2 linked regions of the Saccharomyces cerevisiae S288C genome follow. The gene in region 1 interacts genetically with each later gene. Each region holds a gene or a part of one and is shown on either strand. Other genes may lie near its edges.

Region 1 (3,760 bases):
AATACAGTTAAGCTTACAGGATTTGGGTACTTATCTACTGCACTTATACGGGTTAAGGGATGATGTGCTTTTATTAGATATTGTAGAAGAATCAGAATTGAAGAACAAACAACTCCCTGCAAAGAAGCCGGATATCAGTAAGTTTTCCGCACAGTTGGAGAATATTGAACAGTATTCATCAAATGGCAAGCTTCTTACATATTTTAGAAAACACGTGAAGGATACGTAAATATATTGCACTTAAAATATACATAGTATTAATAATCATTTTGCATTTTCCATGCTGATTTTTCACGCAGGTTTTGAGAAGCAACTATGAAATATTGAATTTCATTTACACCATCGCATTATATTAGTTCAAACTAAACCTTTTTTTTCTTGCGGACAGGCAAAATATTAATACCTGAGTTAGTTTTCATTCCATTGTGTGTTTTTACAAAGGTCTTTTCGTTACAAGAGGGCACTATTGCTAAGTTTGGGTTGATATTGTTAATAATAGCACCCACATTCTCAGAAGACCTTTGTGAAATCTGAGATGCAGTGCAAGATGAAATTGAACCTAAAGGTGCCTTCTCTGAAAGAGTTGGACTTATAGATGCAGCATTGTTCCTTAAGGCATTCATTTCTTTTGATTTGACAGTCTCTGTCACAGATATTTCCTCCGCTTTAACATTCAGTTTCATAGACTTTTGTGTATCTTGCCTTATATCCCGAATGACTTCTGGTTCCACCTCCATCGTTAACGGGATGACTTCCCTTCTTCTTTTCACAGCAATTTGCGTTGATATTCGAGGAGCTTTCTTGAATTTTTTTGGATTTGTGGGAACTTTGTTTTTCCATGAATTTCTCTCTTTAGTGGAGGTTTTAATCAAATACGGTTTTCGGAGCGGCTCAGCTACGATAGCAAACCGTGTCATTCCCTTTTGTGATTGATGATCGCTCAGCAGTACTATAATGGAACCACCGCATTGCTGCTCTCTCTTCTTTAGGCGTCTCTCCCTTATTTCCTCAACGGTTATTTTTTCTTCTTCTTCGTCAGAGGAGCTTGCGTAATCTGGAATAAAAGTTCGATCGATTCGAGTATATATCTTGGGCCAATCTTTGCCACTAACCAATTTCAACAATGAATCACTTGAGGCTGGCCTTCTAGCTAAATTGCGGCTTTTTTTTTTCATAGATTCAAATTTATGTAACATTGAATCAATCAGCTCTTTAGTTTGGTAACGTTTAGTCTCCATTTCATTCTCGTCAGTGGGGTCATTTATTTTAGTAACCTTCTGTAATGTTACTTCCCAATTCAACATACCCAGTCTGTCTGAAATTAATGAAAGCCTGTCTGCTTCATTTTCACCATTTACGATGTCCGATTGAATCATTCTATTTTCTTGCTTCAACATTTTCTTGTGGTAAGGCTGATACGTGCTATCAGGAAGCAAATCATCAGTTGGTTTTCTAATATTCTGGCTCAATTCATGATGTTCAATTTCTAGTGTCATCTTTGTAATTGTCTCTCTCTTTTTCTTGATCTCATCATCGACATTACTCATGAACGGCGACTTCATCACAGGTTTCTGACAACGCGTTTCGTCAACATGCTCATCTACAGTAAAGCAGGACTTAGATTTCCTTAGATGTCCAGCATTTGGGTTTATCCTGCTGACTAATCTTAACTTCCTTTTAGGGTTAATTTCGTATTCTTCTGTATCAAAATCGAATTTTTCAAATTCTCCATGACTATTTTTAATCTCAGACCTCAGCAATCTCTCAGAAGTATTATTTGCTTCTTCTATTGATTGAAAAATACCCATTGATGAACTCTCATATGCTTTTAATGCTGTAGAAATTTTCGGTTTTCCTTTTTAATCTTGCTACTTTTTGTTTTGAGATCGCTGAAATCAACTCGCGGGTTAGATTTTCTTATTTTTAAAAATGTAGAACGAACGATTATGGAAACAACAATAACCAAAAAGAAAGGGAAAACAGTACCGCTTCTACTAATCTGTTGGATACATTAGACAATAAGCTCTAGGAAGTATGGTATATCGTAACAGGTCAAAGAGCGTTTTATCTACACACAGCAAGAAGAGCGACGATAAGGCCCACTATAAATCACGTTCGAAAAAGAAATCAAAAAGCAGGAGCAAGAAGAGGTTAAGAATCTACTGGAGATACATATCTATTGTATGGATCTTATGGTTAGGATTAATATCTTATTATGAATCAGTGGTTGTGAAGAGAGCAATGAAGAAGTGCCAATGGTCGACTTGGGAGGATTGGCCTGAAGGCGCTGAAAGTCATAGGGTGGGTTTATTTGCAGACCCACAAATAATGGACGAATATTCATATCCTGGGAGGCCTCAAATAGTTAATTATTTTACAAGAGTGATTGTTGACCATTATCACAGGAGAAATTGGAAATATGTCCAGTATTACTTGGATCCTGATAGCAATTTTTTCCTAGGTGATCTATTTGATGGAGGGAGAAACTGGGATGATAAGCAATGGATTAAAGAGTACACACGATTCAACCAAATATTCCCCAAGAAGCCACTGAGAAGAACGGTCATGTCTTTACCAGGTAATCACGATATTGGTTTTGGAGACACAGTTGTTGAATCGAGTTTACAGAGATTTTCTAGTTACTTTGGAGAAACTTCCTCCTCATTAGACGCTGGAAATCATACCTTTGTACTTTTAGATACAATTTCGCTTTCTGATAAAACAAATCCGAATGTCTCGAGGGTTCCTAGACAGTTTTTGGATAATTTTGCAATGGGTTCACATCCGCTTCCTAGAATTCTTTTAACTCACGTTCCATTATGGAGGGATCCAGAACAGCAAACGTGCGGTCAGCTACGTGAATCCAAAGAACCTTTTCCTATTCAGAAAGGGCACCAGTACCAGACAGTTATAGAAAACGATATATCACAAGAAATTTTAACGAAAATTCAACCAGAAATATTATTTTCCGGGGATGATCATGACCATTGTCAGATATCACACTCATATCCGTTTCAGGGGAAAACTAAAAATGCTCAAGAAATTACAGTAAAGTCATGTGCAATGAACATGGGGATCAGTAGGCCTGCTATTCAATTGCTCTCCTTATATAATCCTTCAGATTTGACAATGGTAAATGCCGGCGGAGAGTATGCATCAAAAACTTACCAAACAGAGCTATGCTATATGCCAGATCCCTATAAGGCAATCAGAATGTACCTATGGGGATTATTATTCTCTGCTGCCTTTATCGCATACATGCATTTTTTCCCAAAATCTTTTAATAATCGCGTAGCAACCATAATGAACAGAGTATTTACACGACCTGATGGTAACACCTCAGATTTGCCATTACCTACAAGTATTTCCAAATCGAAATCCAAAAAATCATTGACACATAGTAAATACGCTGTGAATGATACGCGTTCGATCAAACAATTTCTAGTTAATGCAATTGTCCTTTTTGTTTCTGTGATGCCCATTTTTATTTATTTTTATACTGTAGTCTAGACAGAATTACTGCTATTCTCTTCCAGGATCAAAATGCTTTGAAGGGAAACGTCTGGCTATTTAATATATGCGAATACACCTTATATACAGACAATGAACAAGAGATATAAATTATACCGGGTGTGGTATTACTATGCTCACCAAACAGTTTGCATAACCTCTACTGGATTTGCATTATGTTTTGTGGTCCAAGCTAAAACTGCAGGACTGGGCGTAACACCAATTACTTCACTATACGGGGACAAAAAAG
Region 2 (3,381 bases), on another chromosome or scaffold:
ACAATTCGGATGCGTTTGGTATTAGTAACAGCAACGAGTAGCGTTTGGGGCGCTTTGGTTGGCGTTGCTGGTGTTGTAGACAAGAGTCCGGGCATACAACCTTTTTGATGGCTTCAAAATTTTCTTGAAGGAAGTTAGCGGTTTGGTAGGCGTGAAACTGGTGGTAGGAGATTGTCTGTAAGCTGGCGTTAATTTCCCTTATAATACGCAGACTATCTGCGTTTGTCGACTTAAGCTCATCAAGATTGCCCTGAAGCCTGTCAACATTTTTCACTAATTTCTCGAAGGAAGGCTTGCCGATGGCCTTGCTTAGAATGGAGTTCACTTTGAAAGGGTCCCAGTGAAAAGTACACTGCTTATTCATATTATTGACGGCGGCGACATTGGGAGTGGCGGCAGACTGATGAGCTTTAACCAGTGAGAGGCTATTAATGTTATCTTTTTGAAAATGAATGTTGGAAAACTCCACGCAGTCCGGGCGGCCCGCCTTCTGGAAGTTATATTTGCTCAATTGCTTAACGAATGCTGCAAAGGTGTGAATACCAAAAAATCGCTCTAGGATGACTTTGGTGAACTGGTCCGGATTCCAAATGACGAGCTTGCTGCCATCAGTCGACCATTGTATTATGTTCGAGTAAGCGTTCCCCTGCAGCAGGTGGTAGAGTTTGCTTACAAAGACATCAGGCTGCTCCATCCTCGATGTTGCATCCATGTCTGACGTGCGTCGCTACACGAAAGAGACACACTTGGCGACTGCCCTGACTGGCAATATATACAGTCCGCAAATGTCGCGGACTGATGCGTCCACTTACTCTTCCTATATACCACCTGGGTGAAGAGGAGAAGTGAGCCCGTTCTGGAGATATATGTCCAAATATTTGCAGATCCAGTTTTGTCATTATAATGAGATGCCTTTTGGGCGACAAAGTTCGGGTAAAAGAAGGACGGGTCCAGGAAGGCCGTGGCCACAGAACAATGCGCAGAGAAGATTTCCGGTTTCTTTTTGGCTTTTCCGACTTTCATCTTTTAGAACTAAAGATTTCCTGCATCGGTAAACCTTAGCAATGTTTCTCTAGAGGGTTTTTGCACACCAGACACGTCGCACGTGCTCTTGCAGAGACTGCTGCGCTTTCGTTTACACTCAGATAACATAGTCTAGCTAGCTTGCTGTCGTTCGGCACGAGATCTAATCCTTCTCCTGGCCTACCGTCTGTGCAACCATTAGTCATGATTACGTGTGTTGCGCCTTATCTTGTCATTATGGCAGCATACTTTTCGTAGTCCTTTCCTGCGCAGCTTGTCCATTTTCGTCATTACGTAAAAAGTCCTAATGGAGAGCTGGGTACTGCATTTTTTCGATGTTTTCAATATTCAGTTCAGCAGGAAATAAACAAATAAACAAACATTAAAATATCCTGGTTTTTTTTCCCAGAGACGCGTGGAAGCACCCATGCATCCACTATTTATTTTTAAACAGCCGTACATTCTGTAATTTTGCTTCCTTTTTCTTCCTGCGTTCTTTTTTTCTTGAACTGTCGTTTTCCGTTATTTTTTTCGGTGACATCAGTTGAAAGTAGCAGCGGCCTAGGCCGGGAGGCCGTGTAGCTCTTTGTAGTCGTGGTAAGGGGGAGTAGCAATTCACTTAGTACGTGGTCTTGGAGTTAGGCTGGCTCGGACTGGCCCTGGCAAGTCCTGTTCTGTGTGGTAGTATTGAAATTTCAGAGATTGTCGGCAATACTAGTATATTAAAAATTATACTATAATTTAATCTAGTGTTGAAATACTTTCTTATATAGCGATTTTTCTGCCCAAAACAAACCAAAGAATCAATACGCAAAGATGGCTAGAGGACCGTATGTTTGACTATAGACTTTGATTATAATTACGCAAGGATGAGAAGAATGATAGACAAGAAACAAGTGGAGTCTTAACCAAACGAATAGGAACAACAATGAACCAGTTTATGTCCATTTAATTTTAGATCATCCTGGGATTGTACAAATATTTTACGAGTAATGATTTACTAACGAGCACAATGAAAAAAATAAAATGTCTGTATCTTCATTATACATTCATTTTTGCCCTTTTTTCTCATTTTTTTCCGTACAGAAAGAAGCATCTAAAAAGATTAGCAGCTCCACACCACTGGTTATTGGACAAGTTGTCCGGTTGTTACGCCCCAAGACCATCTGCTGGTCCACACAAATTGCGTGAATCCTTGCCATTGATTGTCTTTCTAAGAAACAGATTAAAGTATGCTTTGAACGGCCGTGAAGTCAAGGCTATCTTGATGCAACGTCACGTTAAAGTGGACGGTAAGGTTAGAACCGACACTACCTACCCAGCTGGTTTCATGGATGTCATCACTCTAGATGCCACCAATGAAAACTTCAGATTGGTCTACGATGTCAAGGGTAGATTCGCTGTCCACCGTATCACCGATGAAGAAGCTTCTTACAAGTTGGGTAAGGTCAAGAAGGTTCAATTAGGTAAGAAGGGTGTTCCATACGTTGTTACCCACGATGGTAGAACTATCAGATACCCAGACCCAAACATCAAGGTCAATGACACTGTTAAGATCGACTTGGCCTCTGGTAAGATTACTGATTTCATCAAGTTCGATGCCGGTAAGTTGGTTTACGTTACTGGTGGTCGTAACTTGGGTCGTATCGGTACTATCGTTCACAAGGAAAGACACGATGGTGGTTTCGATTTAGTTCACATCAAGGACTCCTTGGACAACACTTTCGTCACTAGATTGAACAATGTCTTCGTCATCGGTGAACAAGGTAAGCCTTACATTTCTTTGCCAAAGGGTAAGGGTATCAAGTTGTCTATTGCTGAAGAACGTGACAGAAGAAGAGCTCAACAAGGTTTATAAATTTCATAACAACTTAATTATTTTCTTCTTTTGTATATCTCCATTAATGTTTATTAGAAATTGAATTTTAAAATAATACATCGTATCTTCCTTTTTCGACTGGCAGTAATATAACGTATAATATATATATTAGGTGTGTGTATATATATCCGTATTGTAATATTGATAGTAAAAATACGCTAACCCTGAAATAGAAGGCGTATGATAAGACGTACTGACACTACGCACTACCACAATATATGCGTATGTGTGTGTGTGTGTGTGTGTGTGTGTGTGTGTGATTGTATTGGAATATATATACTTACTAAAATTAGCTTATATGGTTCGCATATTGACTATTTATAAGGATATTCAACTTGTCTGTCCTTTCTTAACCAAATTTTCTTCTTTCTCTTGGTGGTAACATGTTCCACAAACTTCTCAGTACAATGATCCACTTTGAATTTCTTTATGAAAACAGGGTCCCATAATTCAGAACCGACGCCGAGATCTTTGCAACA

Evidence for each region. A genetic interaction does not mean that the proteins touch.
Region 2: mutations in CDC1 (region 1) and RPS4A impair growth when combined (synthetic growth defect), as found in Saccharomyces cerevisiae (2 studies listed by BioGRID, with this or other methods).

Annotation. Positions count from the first base shown.
Region 1 is NC_001136.10:825,548-829,307, forward strand, and holds CDC1 (putative lipid phosphatase CDC1), read left to right. Parts: upstream 1-2,034; coding exon 2,035-3,510; downstream 3,511-3,760. Other genes in the region: cohesin-loading factor complex subunit SCC2, read left to right, coding at 1-229; SAS4 (Sas4p), read right to left, coding at 363-1,808; YDR182W-A (uncharacterized protein), read left to right, coding at 3,604-3,760. UniProt on the Saccharomyces cerevisiae protein: Probable metallophosphoesterase which may participate in recombinational repair of double -strand breaks.
Region 2 is NC_001142.9:701,527-704,907, reverse strand, and holds RPS4A (40S ribosomal protein eS4 RPS4A), read left to right. Parts: upstream 1-1,839; coding exon 1,840-1,853; intron 1,854-2,109; coding exon 2,110-2,881; downstream 2,882-3,381. Other genes in the region: HMS2 (Hms2p), read right to left, coding at 1-712; YJR146W (uncharacterized protein), read right to left, coding at 670-1,023; MGM101 (Mgm101p), read right to left, coding at 3,217-3,381.